Cricetulus griseus: one gene and its partners. The protein of the gene in region 4 interacts with the protein of the main gene of each other region in a pairwise test. Links are inferred from orthologs where the notes say so. Each region holds a gene or a part of one and is shown on either strand. Other genes may lie near its edges. The genes, in order: Ccndbp1, Lurap1, Mtus2 and Thap7.

What was found.
Region 1: the proteins of Thap7 (region 4) and Ccndbp1 interact in binary tests that used the Homo sapiens proteins (3 or more experiments, as listed by UniProt). The two-hybrid records come from large-scale screens. The link is inferred for Cricetulus griseus from reciprocal best matches to the Homo sapiens genes THAP7 and CCNDBP1.
Region 2: the proteins of Thap7 (region 4) and Lurap1 interact in a two-hybrid assay, tested with the Homo sapiens proteins (2 studies listed by BioGRID and IntAct). The two-hybrid records come from large-scale screens. The link is inferred for Cricetulus griseus from reciprocal best matches to the Homo sapiens genes THAP7 and LURAP1.
Region 3: the proteins of Thap7 (region 4) and Mtus2 interact in binary tests that used the Homo sapiens proteins (3 or more experiments, as listed by UniProt). The two-hybrid records come from large-scale screens. The link is inferred for Cricetulus griseus from reciprocal best matches to the Homo sapiens genes THAP7 and MTUS2.

What each region holds. Positions count from the first base shown.
Region 1 is NC_048599.1:57,429,357-57,434,372, reverse strand, and holds the start of Ccndbp1 (cyclin-D1-binding protein 1), read left to right. Parts: upstream 1-1,707; 5' UTR 1,708-1,795; coding exon 1,796-1,895; intron 1,896-2,023; coding exon 2,024-2,083; intron 2,084-2,327; coding exon 2,328-2,407; intron 2,408-5,016. UniProt on the Homo sapiens protein: May negatively regulate cell cycle progression. May act at least in part via inhibition of the cyclin-D1/CDK4 complex, thereby preventing phosphorylation of RB1 and blocking E2F-dependent transcription.
Region 2 is NC_048595.1:36,196,825-36,201,820, reverse strand, and holds the start of Lurap1 (leucine rich adaptor protein 1), read right to left. Parts: upstream 3,138-4,996; 5' UTR 3,113-3,137; coding exon 2,690-3,112; intron 1-2,689. UniProt on the Homo sapiens protein: Acts as an activator of the canonical NF-kappa-B pathway and drive the production of pro-inflammatory cytokines. Promotes the antigen (Ag)-presenting and priming function of dendritic cells via the canonical NF-kappa-B pathway.
Region 3 is NC_048597.1:83,800,078-83,805,347, forward strand, and holds the start of Mtus2 (microtubule-associated tumor suppressor candidate 2), read left to right. Parts: upstream 1-1,877; 5' UTR 1,878-2,246; intron 2,247-3,507; 5' UTR 3,508-3,610; intron 3,611-5,270. UniProt on the Homo sapiens protein: Binds microtubules. Together with MAPRE1 may target the microtubule depolymerase KIF2C to the plus-end of microtubules. May regulate the dynamics of microtubules at their growing distal tip.
Region 4 is NC_048597.1:71,784,095-71,789,161, reverse strand, and holds the start of Thap7 (THAP domain-containing protein 7), read right to left. Parts: upstream 3,238-5,067; intron 3,094-3,237; coding exon 3,014-3,093; exon of another isoform or gene 2,978-3,013; coding exon of another isoform or gene 2,913-2,977; intron 2,628-2,912; coding exon 2,472-2,627; intron 1,163-2,471; coding exon 1,022-1,162; intron 820-1,021; coding exon 270-819; 3' UTR 1-269. UniProt on the Homo sapiens protein: Chromatin-associated, histone tail-binding protein that represses transcription via recruitment of HDAC3 and nuclear hormone receptor corepressors.

The DNA of each region.
Region 1 (5,016 bases), on a different chromosome or scaffold from region 4:
TTTTTATTCTCCCCAATGCGGACCTGGTTGACATTGCTGACACCTGTACTCATTCGTTGTGTGTGGACATTGAACTCCACTGAACTTGGAACATTCATGGTGCAGTTAAAAAGCCATCTAAGCTCCTGAAGTCCATGGCTTACAGCTGGCAGCATGGCAGAAGTTCAGCCTCCACATTTGTAGCCAGATCTCTGCGCCTGTGGCAGATGGAAAGCCAATGTCAGCATGTCAGCAGGTGGGCTTCAGGAAGCTGTCCCTCCCTGAACATCTGTATGTTGGAAGTGTTAACTACTGATTCCTGCAGTGTGGACTGCAGAATCTAACAACCGATTCTTTCTTCCTCAGGAGGCAAAGAGCCCTGATCACAGAGATTCCAAAGGTGGGAGTCTCTGTTACTCAAGTACCTCAGAACTACTGTGTTTGTTAGGGTCATCCTGTGAAAAGCATCCAGCCCAAGCCCGGAATCCAGAAGGTGTCCAGAGTGCCATTTTATGCCTAGGGAACCTGTGGAGACTTGGGCTGGACCTTGACCACTCTAGAAACATTACTTCCCAGCCTGTTTTCCCACGGATTATGGGTTTTCTGCTTCCTTAGTTGGGGCCGTTTTTAACTAATCAAATAAATGAATGAATGATAAATATCACGAATGTTGGGCTGGAAAAATAGCATGGTAGTTAAGAGCATGTACTTCACGCTGGGCAGTGGTGGCACACACGTTTAGTCCCAGCACTTGGGAGGCAGAGGCAGGAGGATCTCTGTGAGTTCGACACCCGCCTGGTCTACAAGAGCTAGTTCCACAACAGCCTCCAAAGCCACAGAGAAACCCTGCCTCGAAAAACTAAAAAAAAAAACAAAAAAAAACAAAAAAAAAAACATGTACTTCCTGAGTTCAATTTCCAGCAACTATGTCAGGTGGCTCCAGGTTAGAGCCTCTGTGGGTCCTTTGCATTCATGTGTGCACAGACTTATACATAGCATAATAGAATATAAATATTAAAAGAAAGATCGGGGCTGGAGAGATGATTCACTGATTAAGAGCATTGGCTGCTCTCCCAGAGGACCCTGGTTCAATATCCAGCACCCACATGGCAGCTTTCTATAACTCCAGTTCTAGGGAATCTGACACCCTCACACAGACATACATTCAGACAAAACACCAATGCATATAAAAATTTTTTAAAAAACTAAAAAGAAATACCACACGGATCTGTACTGTAGCTAAACATTGGAACCATGGTGTCTGGGGCTTGGAGAAAGAGTCACAACGGGGATGTCACAGGCAGACTTGCCAGCAAAAAACTCAAGACACATAAAATGGCAAAAAAAAAAAAAAAAAAAAAGTGGTCAGGTCTCTAGTAGGTCAGAGAACGCATGGCTGGGTCTTTAGAAGGCGTGGCAGGTGTGGCAGGGTGTCAAGGTGGGGTGGGGGAGAGGGGCAGGGCCGGGCGCCTGGACCCGAGTCCCAGTCTGTAGGCCTGCTGGGAACCGGCAGCCTGGTGAAGGAGGAGTGTCTGAGTCTCTAGGCCCCGCAGGGGAGCTGTGGGCGGGTCTCTAGGAAAGGGAGGCGTGGCCTGATCTCTAAGTGGATCGGGCAAGAGTAGGCGGGTCTGTAGGCGGAGGGAGGCGTGGCCTGACGGCCTGGCTGTCCGGGAAGGCGGGGTCGCGTCACTGAGGAGGAAGGGGCGGGGCGTGATGTGTCTTGCCGGAAGCGAGAGGTGTTTTCGGCACCGGAAATACAGCGGCAGGGGCCGAACGGCTTAAGCGTCCTAGCTAAGGTACGCTGTGAGACGCTGTGATGGCGAGTTCGGCAGCCGCAGCCTCCTTCCTTGCTCCGACTCTGGAGCAGCTCCGGCACCTGGCAGCGGAGCTGCGGTCACTTCTGCCTCTAGTGAGGGGTGAGTTGTGGGAATCTGAGGCCCGGGGCTCCGGGTAGGGCGGCGGTCGGGCGTCACGTCAGGTGACGTGTCTTTTGCTCACCTGTCTTTTGCTTTGGTGGTCCGGCCTCCCACGCTACACCCTCAAGTCGGCGAAGCCCAGGAGACAGCCGAGGAATTTAATCGAGAGATGTTCTGGAGAAGACTTAGTGAGTTTCTCTGCCGTTGCAGACTCTTCCCTCCTCACTCCTGCCTCCTAACCTCTTTCCCCTCTGTTGTCCCAAGAGGAGGTGACAATCCCTCCCGGCCTCGGGACGATTTCTGGAGTTGTTTTGGAGTTGTTTATGATGATAAGGGTGGAGAAGGGATGCGTTATCTTAAAAAATCCGTGTAGTGGTTGCAGCTTCCACCTTTAACACTAACTTTGGTATCCGCCGCCTCTACCACCCCCAGATGAGGCAGCAGTGAACCTGTCAGGGGAAGCCACGATTCTGACCACACTTTTCTCCCGACTTCCACTGCCGTCTCCACGGGTGAGCTTTACTTCCTGGGATTTGTGTGCTGCCTCTAGTTTTCTTGTCACCCTTTACCCTCAAGCCACGTTTATTTTCTTCATTTATTTAATGAGATTATAGTTCTTACCGCATAGGATTGTTGTGAGGACCAAATAGCCAAGTGCAAACGGTAGAAAGGTCTTTCAAATTCAGTCAGGTTAGTTCCTCGGAATTTTAAAAGCTCTTTTTGATTTATAGCTGTTTCTCATACATACTCCCCATCTGACAGATGAGCTAGTAAGTTTAGAGACTTGGATCAAGATTAATAAATGGTGGAGGTGGAGTTAAAAGCCTACAAAGTATCTAAGCAACAGCTATTGCACAATACCCTTTAGTATTAAACTGTTTACCTTTTTATTTAATTACTAATATGTGGATAAAGTTCAAAAGATACCAGAGTACACTAAAATACATGTATATATCTTCCCACCCCAGTTTATCTTTCTATTTCGTTCCCATTTCCTTCTGTATTACTCCATACAATTTGTTCTATGTATATATACATCGCTCTGTGTGTGCTTCTTTTTACACAGTGGTTAGATACTATAAGCATTGTTCTAGACCTTTTAAAAAGTAATATAGCTTAGAAGTTGACTTTTTTTTTTTTTTTTTTTTTTTTTTTTTGGTTTTTCGAGACAGGGTTTCTCTGTGGCTTTGGAGACTGGAACTAACTCTTGTAGACCAGGCTGGCCTCAAACTCACAGAGATCCGCCTGCCTCTGCCTCATGAGTGCTGGAGTTAAAGGCATGGGCCACCACCATCCAGCTAGAAGTTGATTCTTAATGACACATAAAAAAGTTGCTTAGTTCTTTGTAATACTTGATGTAGAGTAACTATAGCTATAAACAATAGCCCAGGTGGACATTTTAAACTGTTTCTAACTTGCAACTATTGTAAATGGCACTGTAGTGAATTGTCAGTTATAATCTTTGCATACATATATGTATTAATAGAAAAAAATTCCAGAGGTGAACTTACAGGAACAAAGAATTAATGCATTTTAAATAATCGTTTATTATGTAACCAAAAGTAAAGCTGGATATTGGCTGTGATCAACCAACATGTGAATGCCCTGTGCCATATTTTTCTAGAGCTACATGTACTTCAGAGTAGTTTATTTTTTTGTTAAATGTTTATTTCATGTCTATGAGTATTTTGCTTGCATGTATGTGCATATGAATTCTGTGCTTAGTATCTATCCATGGAGGCCAGAAGAGGGCACTGGATTCTCTGGAACTAGAGTTAAGGATGGTTGTGAGCTTCCATGTGGGTGCTGGGAACTGAATCTGGGTCCTCTATAAGAGCAGCCAATGCTCTTAACCTCTGAGCCATCTCTCCAGCCCAAAGAGTAGGTTATTTTATGACGACATAGTCGTTGCCTCAATTTTCATAGTAGTTTCAATAACTATGTATCCAGATGTTGTATTTTTGTTTATTTTTTCACTCACATATAACTATACAAATACTCTACTACTGAGCTACACATGCATGAATGTTTTCTTTTGGTTTTATTGGTTTTCTAGAGACATGGTTTCTCTGTGGAGCTCTGGCTGTTCTGGAACTCACTCTGTAGATCAGGCTGGCTTTGAACTTGGAGATCTGTCTGCCTCTGCCTCCTGAGTGCTGGTATTAAAGGTGTGCGCCACCACCTAGTATGAATGTCTTAATGTGATAGAAAGTTCCTTTTACAACATAAAATTATAAAAATACATACCCCTCTTTCCTGTACTTTTTGTTGTGTTTTTTTTTTTTTTTTTGTTTGTTTGTTTTTCCAGACAGGGTTTCTCTGTGTAGCTTTGGAACCTATCCTGGCACTTGCTCTGTAGACCAGGCTGGCCTCGAACTCACAGAGATCCACCTGCCTCTGCCTCCCTAGTGCTGGGATTAAAGGCATGAGCCACCGACGCCTGGCTCTTTTTGGTTTTTTGAGATAGGGTTTCTTTGTGTAGCTCTGGCCATCCTGGAACTAGCTGTATAGACCGGACTGGTCTAGATCTCAGAGATCCATCTGCCTCTGCCTCTGCCTCTGCCTCTGCCTCCTGAGTGCTGGTACTGGGATTAAAGGTGTGTGCCACTACTGCCTGTCCCCTGTGTATCTTAAAACAATGGTTTTCAAATTGTGGGTCACGACCCTTTTGTTACGGTGAGACAACAGGCGTCATAATAGCAGATATCTAGCATATCAAATATTTACATTATAATTCATAACATTAGCAATGAAAATATTTTTATGGTTGGGGCTACCACAACATAAGAAACTGTATTAAAGGGTCACAGCATTAAGAAGAACCACAGTCTTGAGCAATTTGGCAGTAAGAAAAAAAGATAAATTGTATGACAGCAAGCAAAGACGTAGTAATTGCCTGATTCAGTAGTTGGGCTGTATTCAACAAAAGACCAGGTGCTGAATATTTTAGGCTTTGTAGGACAACTGCTTAACTCTTCCCTTGTAATACAAGTACAACTGTTAGATGCTTGTAAATTAATGAGCATGACTGTGTCCTAGTAACACTCCATATATAAAACCCACCAGTGAGCCTAGGGGGAGCCTCTGGGCTATAATTTGCTTCCTACTGGTCTAAGTGCAG
Region 2 (4,996 bases), on a different chromosome or scaffold from region 4:
AGAGACAGGACCCTCCTTAAGTCCACAAAATACATCAGGAGACAAAATTTGAACTCATGCCTTTCCCCCATTCCTTGCCTATTGTGCTCCCATAAACTGCTCTGTGGAGGTGGCTGCTCATAGCAACAGCTCTTTGGGTGGACGCTGCCACTGCCATCCCCACACATCTCAGAGTCTGGCTTGTCGCTCAACTTCAGACTAGGGAAACAAAGCAAGAGCAGAAAGCCAAAAACCCGGTTGACCTTGGCCTGGAGGGCCAGCCTCCCCTTCTGCAGGAGGAAAGTAGAGAGGGACAACTGAAGGACAATCCTTAGAGAGTCAGTTCTGCCTTCGAGGACTCCAATCTCCTGCCCTGCCCTTCTGTGTCAGTAAACCAGCAGTTAGAGCAGAGTACAAGAAGAAATCAATGCTATCTTGGCCTGAGGAGGGAGGAAGGAGCCTGACATGGATCTTCTCCTTCTTCTGGTCTCCAAAACACTGTTTGTGGGAAGCTTCAGACCCCAGGTCAGACAGGCCAAAAGTTAAAGAGTTAAAACCAGAAGCTAAATTTACTCCCCTAAAGTTTATAAGGAACAAGAGTCAGAGGTTAGGCCTGCCTCCAGATTTCCTGTATGAGAAGCAAGCCCACAGACATTTGAAACGTATTTCAATGACATGAGATGTCCTTAAAGTGTCTGCCACAAAGCATGTTTTCATGATCAGTGTGGTCAAATAATCTGGGCTCAAATCCTGACTTCACTTTTTGAGTGACTGTGGGCAGCTGCTTAAGTTCCTGTATAACATTAGCTACCTGAGTGTGAAGGGGACAGCATGTAGGAGCAGTGGTACAGCTCAACTGCAGAGCATTCACCTTGTGTGTGCAGAGCCCTAGGTTCAGTACAAGGGAGAAAAAAATGGCACTGGAGAGATAGCTTAACAGTCACGAGCACTTGTTCTTGCAGAGGATCCAGGTTAGGTTCCCAGCACCCACACAGTGGCTCACAACCACCCACAACTCCAGTTGCAAGCAATCTGATGCTCTCTCTAACCCCCGGGCAACAGGCATGCATGTGGTACAGACACATTCACACAGGCAAAATGTTCCCACACAAAGATTCCTAAAATTCTTTGTTTTTTATTTTATTTATTTTTGGTTTTTGGAGGCAGGGTTTTCTCTGTAGCTTTGGAGGCTGTCCTGAAACTTGCTCTGTAGACCAGGCTGGCCTGGAACTCAGAGATCCGCCTGTCTCTGCCTCCCGAGTACTAGGAATAAAGGTGTGTGTCACCAACGCCTGGCTCGGCTTAAAATTCTTAAAAAAGAAAAATATCATGTATCATGCTGGACATTGATACATGCCTTATATTCCCAGTATACTTTAGTTTCCAGCTGGGTATGGTGGCACATGCTCATAGTCCCAGTACTCAAGGGGCTGAGACAAGAGGAATATGTGTTGGGGGGCCAGCCTGAGCTACATAGTGAACCCATATCTCAAAATGCCAAAACAAAACAACTTAATTTGCAAAGGATAAACTAGGTAGGCTCTATGTCTTGAGCAGTTTGTACATGAGGCAAACAAGGCTTCTTTCAGAGGTGAATACAGTCACAGGCCTGCTCTGGAGAATTTGGCATTCAACTACAACCTCCAAGGCCAAACACACACTTGACATTCATATCCTGTCCCCAGGGATCAGATGAATACTCTCTGACCACTCATCCCAGGAGGCTTCTTAGCCTAAAATGAGAGCCCTGGGCTGGCTTGGAGGTCCCATGTCCTTCCTTCCACCCTTCCTGATCTGCTTGACATAATGCAGAGCACACAGTGGGGCCCCAAGAAGACTTATTAACTGGCTCAGTCACTGTGGGCTTCTGGTTCTTAGCCCATGAGTAGCTGGCAATTCCTCAGTTCTCCAGAACTGGCTGCAAAGTGGTGGCAGGTGTAATTCATCTGTTTCACCGGAACCAGGGCCCTGGGGGAGCCGCTGGGGCCCATCTGCCCTTTTTGGCTCAGAATCTAGACCAACAGCTCCAGGGAAGGCTAGGTGATACTGTTTCCTTCCCTTGTCCCCAAGAAGGTACAGGTGAGACCCTGGGAGTCTGAAAGGAGACTGAATTCCAGGTGAAGAGCCAACTGTGTCACTACTGTCTCTGTTAAGGTCTTAGAATATTTAATACCACGATGGTGGGATGCTTAGGGAAAAGGACGTTTTTAGTGTGCCCCTAATGCAGGCAGTTTCAGCAAGTATTAATTACCTCATCAAATCTTTTTTGCCTGATTTGAACACCTTGGGGCCTTAGGAAAGAAACCTTTCCCCAGTTTGTTGGAGGAGTGGGTAAAGAAAACAGTTGCCTTATAATGGGGTATGAGGAAATTGGTGGCCTTGGATGCCGATGGTAAGAATTTGCGCTGAACTAAGTTTTTTGTACCGCTTAGCCCTCGCCTCCCTCCTCCCGATTATTGGGCAGGGGAAAGTTCCAAGAGCTGTGCCTACTGCTCCCAGTTCTCAGGATCTACCAACCCTTCACTCACCCTTGGGAGTGAGAGGTCATGAAGTAATGAGACGTCACTTCTCTCCACTTTCAACCCCGGGTTTATGGATTGATCTAGGAGGGACCCTCCTCGGCAGCCTAACTCCTGGAACCTGCGCCTTTCCCTACAAACGACCTTATGCTGAGGACCCCGTGCCCGTGGCCTGTAGCACCCACGCTCACCAGCTCCATCCTCAGCTCCATGATCTTGTCCCCCAGGCCGTGGCCGGTGCTGGGTGCCGCTGGGAGCAGTAGGTCCCCAGAGGATCCCAGCTCCCACTCGCCTCGAAGCCCGCGGAGCAGCCCTTCGGGGGTCTTCCTGCCCACCTTGCCCTCCACATCTCGCAAGTCAGGCGTCTGGGACTCCGCAGTCCCCTCCATGTGGGCCCAAGCCAAAACAGGGCTGGGCGACCAGACGCGGAGGTCCAGGTCCCTAGGGTCCTCCCTTCTCCGCTGCGAACACGGAGCCGGAGCGAAACCGGTGGGTCCCCGCCTGCGCGGCGCTTGGGGGCAGGAGGAGGGCGCCGTAACGCTCAGAAAAGCCGCGCAGTTGGGTAGAGAAAGATACCGAGTGTTGCGCACACAACTTCTAGCCTCGGATGGCATGCGACTGAATTTGGAACTGAAGACCTCAATGGGTGCTCAGTGCTTTCTCCCTTTGTTGACGCCAGCTAAACGCACAACAGGCAGCTAATACATATTTGCTAAACAAAAAGACAACTTCAGTACGCACTAACACGACTGCAGAGAGTTTGGAAGTCTTTCTGCTAAAAGCTGTGTCTGTTACAGATACTAGAATATAGCTGCTCAGCTCACAGATACCTCCCAGCACCTAGAAATCAGACTGAAGATGTAATAGGAGGTCAATCAATCCCTCTGGCCAGTGAGAAAAAAAAAAACATTAAAATTGAAGGAATCCACAGGGTCTTGATCTTAGGCTTACAAAAGAAGTGCTTCCTCAACCTAAATATGGTTCATCTGAAAACCTTGTGAAGTTAGGGCATTGCCTTTTGTGGGGGGTTGTGGGGTCCCCACAGAGGGTCTCACTGTGTGGTTCTGTCTGGCCTGGAACCTGCTTTGTAAAGTGGGCTGGCTGGCTTTGAAACTCACAGAGATCCACCTGCCACTTCCTCAACAGTACAAGGATTAAAGTCCTTTCAAAAGATTTATTTTCTATTTTAATTACCTGTTCATGTTCAGGTGAGTTGAGGGTTTGTACACATAAGTTCAGGTGCCTGGAGGCCACAGAAGAGCATCAGGTCCCTGGAAGCTGGATTTAACAGTTCTGAGCTGTGCTGGGTACTGAACCCAGGTTCTCTGTGAGAGCAGTGTGTGTCATTATTGCGTGCTGAGCCATCTCCAGCCCTGGGAGTCTGCACTCCTAAGAAGCTACAGGGGTGGCCATGCTTCTGGTCTGTGGACACAGTAACAATATATTTCTAAGCATTTGGACTTAATTCTACTTCCAGTTCACTATTACAGAAAGATTTACAATGAGAAAGTACCTCTTCCCTCTACTCTTTCACACCTCTGGGCTCACTTCCCAAAGGCAACCTACTTTCAGCTTGTTATTGTTCTGTAGTTTGTTTTTGTTTTATTTATTAATTTGCTCTCTCTCTCTCTATCTATCTATCTATCTATATATATATATATATTAATTTACTACATGTATGTGTCTCTGTATGGAAATATTCACATAAGTACAGGTTCCCCCAGAGGTCAGAAGAGGGCCTTGGATCCCCTGGAGTTAGAGTTACTGGCAATTGTGAGCCGTCTGATACAGGTGTTGGGAACTGAACTCAGGTCCTACTGTAAGAGCAATATGTGCTCTATAACTGCCAAGCCATCTCTCCAATCCAACCATCCAAATCTTCTACCACTCATTCTAAATTTATTTTTTATTATTATTCTGGGTTTTTTTCAGTTTTACTTTATGTGCATTAGTGTTTTGTGTTGTTGGGAGTTTTGGGTTTTTTTTGTTTGTTTGTATGTTTTGTTTTTCAAGACAGGTTTTCTCTGTGTAGCTTTGGAGCCTATCCTGGCACTGGCTCTGTAGACCAGGCTGGCCTCGAACTCACAGAGATCTGCCTGCCTCTGCCTCCCGAGTGCTGCGATTAAAGGCATGTGTCACCAACGCCCATCTTGCATTAGTGTTTTGCCATGGGTTTTGCCACTGGAGTTACAGTTATGAGCTACCATGTGGGTGTTCTGGAAGAGCAGTCAGTGCTCTTAACTGCTGAGCCATCTCTCCAGCCCCAGTTTTGGTTTTTCAAGACAGGGTTTCTCTGTGTATTCCTGGCTGTCCTGCAACTCATTTTGTAGACCCGACTGGCCTCAAACTCACATATCTGCCTGACTCTGCTTCCCAAGTGCTGAGATTAAAGGCATTTGTGCCACCATGCCTGGCTAAATTTAAATATTGTATACTGACTTCCTATGAACTTTTTTTTTCCAGTCAGGGTTTCTCAGTGAAACAACCTTGGCTGCCCT
Region 3 (5,270 bases), about 12 Mb from region 4:
ACCTGGAGTTACAGATGGTGGTGAGCTGCCATTTGGTTGCTGGGAAGCAAACCCAGGTCCTCTGCAAGAGCAGCCAGTGCTCTTAACCACTGAGCCATAGCTGTATCCCTGACCAGTCCTTTTTTTTTTTTTTTTAATAGACCAAAAGGAATTATATACGTCATATATAATCTGTGGTTAGAATAGCAGTTTTATTTTATTTTTTATTTTATTTATTTCATTTTTTATTTTTTTATTTCTCGAGACAGGGTTTCTCTGTGTAGCTTTGGAGCCTATCCTGGCACTCGCTCTGGAGACCAGGCTGGCCTCGAACTCACAGAAATCCTCCTGCTTCTGCCTCCCGAGTGCTGGGATTAAAGGCATGCGCCACCAATGCCCTGCTAGAATGGCAATTTTAACTGGAAAGTGCTCCACTTTCAAAAATAAAATGCTAGGCGCCTCTCCTCCCTTAAATCACTGACAGAAAACATGTTCTCTGTGGAGTGGTCTCATAATCTGAAAAGTCAATACATGCCATCTTTTGTATTTCAAATATTTATCTCACTGCACTAAGAAAGATGAGTAGAATAGCCAAAGGTCCATCAAGATGTAAATTAGTGAGCTGGAGCGATGGCTCGGCACGAACTAGTCAGGTATGTCTGAAGCAAGTGTTACTAGGAACTCATGTGCACTGAGGGAGGTGTACGGGTATGTGTTGAGGGTAGTGGGAGCAGAGGTCACAGCTGGGAATGCCAAGGCCTGACCAAGTGACACCAGGTGGAGTGAGGCATCATTGATACTCTGGCATGCTTGGCAGTCTTTCACATCCCCATCTTGTCAGGGGAGGGTAGAGCTGTCAGAGGTAAACTGAGTCTCAGAGAGCTTCTCCAGGTCACCTCCCCTTTCTCCAGGTCACGTCCCCTTTCAGATCTCCAGAGTCTGGAAAGAAGAAACTTCCATGAGAAAATATTTCCATGGGAAGGGCCAGTAGGCAAGTTTCAGCTACGTTTTCTTAATTAGTGGTGGATGTGAGAGGGCCAAGCCGATTTCGGGTGATGTCATCCCTGGTCCAGCAAGCCTTGGAGAGCAAGCCAGTAAGCATCATTCCTCTGTGGCCTCTGCTTTAGTTCCTGCCTTGACTTTCCTTTCTGATGGAGTGTAAACTGAAATAAGCCCTTTCTTCCCCAAGTTGTTTTTGGTCATGGGGTTTTATAAGAGCAAGAGAAACCTAAGAAAGACATGGAGCAGAGGGGATTGACCTGTGCCTGGAGCCTGGTAGCAGCAGGTATTAATTAGCTGGGCACAGCCGAAGGGGGAGGGCAGCAGGTCCGTGGTGCCCGCACTGGGACAAAATGAACAGGTTGCACATTGACCTGAGAGCTGGCAACAACCTCCAATAGAGAACATGGAGGCAGAGATGGCTTCAGGATAGGACTGGGAATCCGGGCTGACCTCAAGGGGAGAAGGGCTCTTTCTAGTGCAGAGATTAAAATAAACAGAAAATGTGAGCACTTGATTGCATAATTCCAATTGTATCTAGAATGGGTTTAAAGTGATGTTTAACAATAATTGGTACATAATTGTGCATATTATGACATTTAATAGACATATAGGTCAGCATGGTCACATGAAGGGAATGGCATACCCACAACCTTTGACATCATGTCTTTGTATTGGGATGTTGTACACCAATAACCTCCTAATTCAAACATTTGGTCAGGAGGGAGGCAACTTCAGACTCCGGAAGTAAACAAAACTTACAAGGCTTGTGAAGTTCCTGAAACTTACAAGATTCCCAAGGCTGTTACCCAAGGTTATCTAAGAAGTAACAAAGGCTGGTGGAAGGAGACTCTGAGCCTGCAGGTCATTCTGGGAGCTCCTGGGATGTAGCTCTTGCTTTTAAGATAAATAATAAAGCAATCGATCTTTTCCTTGTAACTGAAAAAATGCAGCCTGCCAGCAAAAGAACTGGCTGAGAAAAGTATCTTGCATGCTTAATCTATAAGAAGTTGCTTGGACATGAATGTGTGTGGGGTTTTGGAGATAATTTGTTTTTCACCTGTAATACATGATATAATCGTGTAAGGGAAATGGGAAACATGCTTTTTTTTTTTTTTTTTCTTTCTTGTATTCACTGCAGTTGTTCACTTGAAAAATAGAATGTCACCACAGTGTAATTTTTATACTGCTTGAAAGATTCTGACTGGGCAAATAAGCTGTAAGGGATATAAATTAAGAATACACAGAAGGGATACATCTGGATAGAGGTAAGAAAAGAAAGAGATAAAAGAGAGATATGATAGAAAGACTCTAAAGGGTGTGTGTGTGTGTTTGTGTGTGTGTGTGTGTTTTCCTTTTTCGCCAGCCCCAGGGAGTTAAGTTTGCCCCAATGACCAGCCCCCCAAAATTAAGTTTTACATCCTCAGATAGAAAAGTCAATTGTGTGATTAGTCTGCTCGATTTCATGGCTCCCCCTCAAATCCTGAGCTGCTGAAGGCTGGTCCTCATGGCAGCAACACAGCATGGAAACAGAAACAGATCCGGTTTTTTGTTTTGTTTTGTTTTTTGTTTTGGCATATTCAATTACCAATGTCAACCATAGTGTCTGTTGGGTTCCTGAATGTTCAGAGTTCTTCTATGCAACTGTACCTGTCAACCACCCCCTCCCCGTCCCTGTCCTTCCCTGATGCTCACTCCTGTCCCTTGGTAATCGTTCTACTTTCTGTTCTAGTGACCTGGAGTTTTTAGCTTCCACATGTATGAGTGGGTGTGCAGTGTTTGTTTTTCTGTGTCTGACACCTCACTTTATGGAATGCATTTGGGTTGATGTTTTGCTGTGGCTAGTTCCCGGATATGAGTGTCTTTTATAAGAATACAGACTTGACTGCAGGGTCATGGGTGGGGCTCAGGCATACGTGTTTTAAAAGAATGATCCCAGGATACTTATTATTGCATAGAGATACCTCCTGCCGATGGATGTCTGAGATTTCAAGATAGCAAGGTGTACTGGCTTGCTTTTCCGTTGCTGTGATAAAACACTGGCCAAAATCATCTTGGGAAGGAAAGGATTTATTTGGCTTACACTTCCAGGTTACAAACTGTCAGTAAGTGAAGTCAGGGCAGGAACTCTAGGGAGGTGCTCAAATAAACTCTGGAGAGGAATGCTGCTTGCTGACTCACTCTCTGACCCAGGCTCAGGCTCGGGCTCATGTTTATGTTTAGCTATCTTTCTATAGCATCCTTCATTCATCTGCCTAGGGATGGTACCACCCACAGTGGGCTAGGCCCTCTCACTTTAATCAACCAATCTGATTCAGGCAGTCCCTCAGTTGATGTTCCCTCTTTCCAGTTGAGTGTAGGTTGTATCAAATTGACAGCCAGGACAGAGGGTGAAGCCAATTTTTGGTCGGCTTGATAGTGTTTCTCAAATTATGCTGTGGTTCTACTCCATCAAACCTTGAGAGAAAATTTGTTTGAGGGTGGTAGGGTTCCACATATCATAACTTGTCTTTCTTTTCTCTGGTCCAGTGGGACTCCTGGGTGTCAATGAGCGTGCTTGGCTTAGAGTCATATGAATGTCACCTGCCTTACTTCCTTCTCTGACCCTGGGATACAGAAAATCCATCAGCAGGTATGCGTTAGCCTTCTTGCTATGTATCTAGTGACCATACACTTTGTGGCATAAAACCCTTCGCTATCTTATGTTCCCACAGTTGTGGAGTTCAGGCATGGCTTAGCTGGACCTGTTCCACAGGCCATAATGTGGCCATCAGCCAGGCTGGCTCTTAGATGGAGCTTGGAGCTCCTCCAGTGTTCCTGGTTGTTGGCAGAATCCACTTCCTTCTGGTTATACAACTTCTTATTTGTGATGGACTGTAGGTCTATAGGTCTGTAGGTCATTGGCAGTCTGCTATTACATGGCAGATGTGTCTGAGACCAATACAGACAGGCATTTTCTTTCTGTATCTCTCTGGGTAGCCCTTGCATTCATATAAGGTAGCTGAATGAAGAAAGTGATGTCCTGTCCTCTCTACAGAATGGCTGTGTATTAACCTGCTTAGGCTGCCACGACAAACTACCTTAGACCAGTCTGATTATTATATCTTTTTTTTTTTTTTTCACTTTAAAGGTGTGGGTAAGGGGGCCTAATCACTCTTCCAAGGTCCTGGTTGATAGGTTATCCAATTCCAAGTGGTCAACACTAAATACATGTACATATGAACAGTACTAAATGGATTGGGTTTGTGTGTGTATGTCTAATAATTAAAAAAGGTCATGAATTTGATAGTCAGTGGGGGAGAGGGGACATGGGAGAAGTTAGAGGGAGGTCAAAATGATGGAAATACAGTACTCATATATGAAATTCTCAGAAAAAGAAATGAAGTTAATTCGGGCAGTGGTGGTACACACCTTTAATCCCAGGACTCAGGAGGCAGAGGCAAGTGGATCTCTGTGAGTTCAAGGCCAGCCTGGTCTACAAAGTGAGTTCCAGAACAGCCTCCAAAACCACAGAGAAACCCTATCTGGAAAAACCAAAACCAAAACCAACGCCCCCCCCCCAAAAAAAAAACAAACAAAAAAAATGAAGTTAAAAACAATTCACAACCTCCCCAAACTGCACCAGGCTGGTATTCAAGCATTTCAACACATGAGCTTGTGAGGGACAATTTCATAGTTAATTTATAAAATTGTCACATCATAGCTATTGCTGCCTTATGCCATTTCAGAGTCTTAGGCTCAGCCAGTGAGGACCGGTTGGTGAACAATGAGCAACCTTCTTCCCAGGAAAGCAAATGCCTTTCTGGAAGCTCCCAGAAGATCATAGCTTAGCTTTCATGCATGTCAGGTAGAGATTTCGGTATATCCACAGACACTGACTTTGTTTCAGCAGAAAAACAAAGAATTTTCCTGGGAAGACATAGCATTCCCTCCAAGAGTGCTTTGTAGAAACAGCCTTGTTTGGTTGAGGTCGGTCTCACCATGTGGCTCAGGCTTCAAACTTGAAATCCTTTTGCCTCGGTCTCCAGAGCCCTGGGGTTTCAGGACTGTTATCACCACCCCTGGTTTAGTCGCAACCCCTTTAAAATTGGTGTTTGAAAGTTTGATGGCTGTGTATTCTTTTTTTTCTTTCTCAGATTTTTTAAAAAAATTGATTTAGAAACAAGATTGTTTTACATGACAATCCCAGTTCCCCTCTCCCTCCCGACCTCCCTAACTATCCCCCCAACTAAAACCCTACCTTTTCTCCTCCCCCTGGATGGTGAGACCTTCCATAGGGTGTCATCAGAGTC
Region 4 (5,067 bases):
TCAAAGGAGCTGGCTTTCTTACTTGAAAGAGTGAGTAAATAAGTGGAGGGACTGCAAACAAAGATTCCCCATGGTCAGGAGGGTGCATGTCAGGGCCTGATCCCTCTGAGGCTTTGGCCATTGTCTAGGGAGGAGTCTGGCACCCCCCAGCTGAGCCAAACAGCAAGGTCTCTTTCTAGCATCCACTTTATTGTGACTTCCGGTCAGCCTGGTGGATGTAGTTCCAATCAAATACCTCTGAGGAAGAGAGACCAGAGCCTTGGGTGTCCTCATGCCATGCTATTGCTCAGCTGCAAAGCGAAGTCCTGTACATGGTCCTTCAGGGTCTGGCGGGCATCTGCCTGTGCCCTCTTCTCTCGTGCCCGTTCCTGCTGCAGCTTGGTCAGTCGAAGTCTAAGCCGCTGTTCCCTACGTTTGCAGGCCTGCAGCTGGCGCTGGGCCTTGTCCAGAGCATCAAGAGCTGCTTCAGCTCTCCTCTTCCAGAGCAAGGCACTCCCCACTTGGTAGCTGTGCTCATTCTGGATGTAGGCTCCAGCAGGTGGTGGCAGCCGCAACATGTAAGCAGATGGGGAGATAGGCCGTGGCTCAAGAGGGGAGGGGTGCTGCTCTGGTGAAGGCTGGGCACTACAGCCTGCTTCCTCTGCTTGGGCACCTACCGGGCCCAGAAGATCTGAGAAGGGGCTGTTAAGGCCAGGTTCCAGCCTCACAGCTGGGGATGCAGGCAGAGTGGCAGGCGCTGAGGCTTCTTCCACAGGGAAGCAGATGATGTCAGCAGGAGGTGGAGAAAACAGGGTTGTGGGTCCTTGACCTTCAGAGCAGCTGGAGGGGAGACAGAAACTGACTAGCCAACTAAGAGCATGCCAGGACCCTCATACACCCACTTACACTCCCTAACACCTGAGCCCCTTCACTGGGTCCAGGCAGCAAGAACCCTGTTCAGTGAAGATGCTGGCACTCACCCTACAGTTCAGTCCCTCAGCCCTGGGGGGAGGGTGGGGCATCTCCCTCCTTCAGCACATACCGCTTCCTGCATCGCCGGAGCCGGCTGACATCAGGCAGGCCAGGTGGATAACCATGCCCCTTGGTCTTGGTTGTTCGACGTAACTTGGAGAAAGACTCAAATATGGTGGGGACTGCCCCTTCCTTCAGCCTGTGATACCCACTGTGGGGAAAAGCAGCCCAGATGAGGTGGAAATAAAGTGCTGCCACTTCCCCTGGTCCCAACATAGCTCCCCTCAGCACTAGGGCTATGGGCTTCATGGCACACTGCCAATAATCTGAAGAATGCCAAGTTTGGTAGAATCCAACTAGTCTGCCCTGTGAATGAGCATCCAGACTTGAAGTGAATGGACAACGCCTCCCCACCCCCGCACGGCTAGGTGGACTAGTCAGAAGTCTCTCATTTGTGGGCCTGCTGGAAGAACTAGGGGCCAAATACCCCAGAGAAAAGCTATTTTACTTTTGTGTGGATATCAGAGGCCTTCTTAAAATTATTCTCCACCTGTTTTTAAAGATTTCTTTTTTCTCCTTAAAAACATTTATGTGTATGGGTGCTTTGCCTGTACATATGACTATCCACATGCCTGGTACCCACAGAAGTCAGAAAGAGCACTAGATCCCTGGAACTAGAGTTTACTGGCTTGTGAGCCACCATGTGGATGATGGCAAATGAACCCAAGTCGTCTGGAAGAAACCAGTATCTTTTTTGTTTTTCAAGACATGGTCTCTCTGTGTAGCTTTGGAGCCTGTCCTGGAACTCACTCTGTAGACCAGGCTGGCCTCAAACTCACAGATCCGCCTGCCTCTGCCTCCAGAGTGCTGGGTTTAAAGGTGACACCAGTGACAGCTTGAAGCCTCTTAACCTCTGAGCCATCTCACCAGCCCTATTTATGAGTATGAATGTTTTGCCTACATGTACAATGTGTATGTACCACCTGTGTGCCAGGGCCCTTAGAAGTACGAAGAAGGCAAGGGATATCCCTTGGTGCTGGGAATTGAACCCTGGTTCTCTAGAAGAGTAACAAGTGCTCTACATTGTTAAGCCATCTCTCCAGCTCACCCACATTTTTTCTATCTATCTATCTATCTATCTATCTATCTATCTATCTATCTATCTATCTATGAATGACAGTGTCCCCTTGAACACAGGTCTCAACAACTCATCTAGACTAGCTAGCTGGCAGGAGCCCTGGTATCTTTTAGTTTTGTCTTCTCCAGACCTGGGAAAACTGTCTTCCCAGCCGGGAAAGGCTGTTATTCTCGGATGCTACTGGCATGGTAATCCTGGGGCCATGCTTTACTGCACACAACTGGGAAGAGGTCACAGCACCCTCGACATAGGTGTGCCTGTCTGTGAGCGTGCCAGCCAGCCGTTCATGGGCTTCACCAGGGCACAGAGCCGCCCCACTTGCCACACTCACTGCTCTGATGCCTCACCACCTGTTCAAGTGTCATCTGGCAGAAAAACCCACCTGATTCCCACCAGCTCAAAGCAGTTTTCCTCGAAGTGTTTGGAGCAGAAGTAGATGTACTCAGAGGCCGGGTCCCACAGGCCCTGGCCGCTGGGGTCCAGCCGCTGACAGTTGGCCAGCCACAAGCCGCGCCTGGGGTTGTCTTTCTTGGGAAGTCTGCAGAGCCACAAAACCGTGAGCACCAGACTGCTGCAGCCCGCGATCAGGATGCCCAAGCTCCCCAGGCAAGAGGGGCAGACCTCCCCGCGACCCTTTCGGATTACCACCCGCTAGGAGTAAACTGAGGACGAGAGAAGGAAGGAACAGGGCCTGCTTAGCATCACCTAGCAGCAAAGAGTTAGAGCTCCAAGTCCAAGGCAAGAAAGCGCCCAGTCCTTTTCGGCTGGATTCGGGACTCCTCGACCGCCCTTCACCCTCCCGCTCACAAAGTTCAAGCCTCACTTCGACCTCAGGAAGGCGCTGTCTCCTGCGCGGCCTAAAGTGCAGCAACACCAGCGCCTGCGCATGTGAGCCCTCGCGTGCCACTACGCACGCGCGCTGACCTGTGGAAGGAGATGCCGCGGTTGCGAGTCTCGCGCGTATCCCGTGTGCAGCAGCCGGCGGCGGAGCAGTGTCGCGGCATCTGGGGAAGGGGTGGGAGCTGGGTCGTGGGCGGCAGCCGGGGGGAGGGGACTGCCTTCACGCCCCGCCGCCACTCCCTCCAGAGGGCCTGAACCTGCCGGCTCCCCCGCGGCCCGACCTCGTCCCAATCCCGTCCTAACTCGTTCTATAGACTCCCGTCAGCGGTACTCACGGTCTTGCCATTGCTGCGCCGCCAAAGTCTCGCGATGGGTGGGTCAATGCGGAAGTTGGGAGCGTAGGGACTCCGTAGCGGGCTGCGACTGCCCTCAAGGGGCGGGACCGGAAGAGATCCTGGCGGGCCGGCCACCGGATGTTGGGAGTGCGGGCCGATCGTTGCCGCTGAGGTGCTTGAGATCCCCGGAGCGGCCGTGTCCTCGCTCCCTTGTTTTGTTTGTGTATCCAGGGTGACTACCGAGCGCTCGCCGTTAGGACTAAGCAGCCCCGGTGCGATCTGTAGTGCTCCCTGACACTCTGGTTGAAAGAAGATTCACCACCAAGAAAAATCTGGGCTCTTGCCTGAAAGAACCCCGCCAAGGGCCCTGGGTGACTCGGCACTTTCTGCCAACCCTGAGGATCCGAGTTTGATTTCCCTGCCCGCCATGGTTAGAAGGGAAGAACCAATGCCCACTAGTTGTCCTCTGACCCCCACATATCGCACGTGTGCATGCATGCGTATGCACAAGATAAAACGTAAAGACAAAAAAGAGTTCTTAAAGTAACGGAATTAACTGCGTCAGCAGAGGGACTGCAAACACGGCCAGGAGGGTCTGAGCCCACTGGGATTTTACCGCTGTCTCAGGAGAAACCTGGCACTCCCAGCTGGGCCAGGCAACAGGATCTCTTTCTAGCATCTACTTTGTGACATTAGCAGTCCTGGAGGGTCCATTTTAGATCAAGGTCTTTAAACCAGTGCTCAAAACTGAGTGCAATCTGGGGACATAAACATTTGCCAGCCGAGGAGGAAAGCTAATGTAGAAACCTAGGTTTCTACAGCTTGGGTGGAACCCCAGCTGCGTTCACACGCGGTGTGAGGGACTTCATTCTTCAATTTAAAACAATGTGTGTTGCCCCAATTGACTTATCTTGTTAGTAACTGAGCATATAGATATGCCTATTAATGTCTTAGAGAAAACAAATGTATTTGCTGCAGAGGAATTTAGTAGTTGGCCCTTCCAAGAAAGGCAGCTATCTAGACAGGGAACTTTGTTTTTTGTCTTGTTTTGTTTTTAAAGTACTGTATGAAGTAAAAGTAATGTTAACAGTAGGGGGGGAGATAAAGATATAACTGCCAGCCACATAGCTGCACTCAGTATTCCCCCCCCTCATTCTGCAGAATCCACAGCCATCTCTTAATAACCCTTCCCCGAGGCTGCCAGGTCCTCTGGACCTCAGAGAACACCCCTCCACACCTGCTGTCACATAGATGTGCGTAAAGGCCTCTCTGGCATGCATGAGGTTGAACTTGTGATTTAGGTGAGCCCAGGCCTCTTCAGTGGCAGTTGTTTTGCTGAGCATACACATGGCCTGCTGTTCCTTGGCCAGGTCTCCCCCAGGGACCATAAAGGGGGGCTGGTAGTTAATGCCTGCCTATCAGAAAAAAGGAAAATACAGTGGAGTTTATATTGGCCTTATAAATGACAGTTTGTTAAAAAGTTGAGAACTGTGGACCCACTTTGAACTGTAAAAGCTAGTATTATACTTTTGAAAATAACTAACATTTAACATTCTTTTAAAATTTCATGTTTCAGATTCACCCACACAGACACACACACAAAAAATTAAGGTTGTATGTGGGACAGGAGAGATGGCTCAGTGGTTAAGAGCACTGGCTGCTCTTCCAGAGGTCGAGATCCTGAGTTCAATTCCCAGCAACCACGTGGTGGCTCACAACCATCTGTAATGAGATCTGGTGCCCTCTTGGCCTACAGGCATATGTGCAGACAAAACACTATATATATAACAAATAAGTAAATCT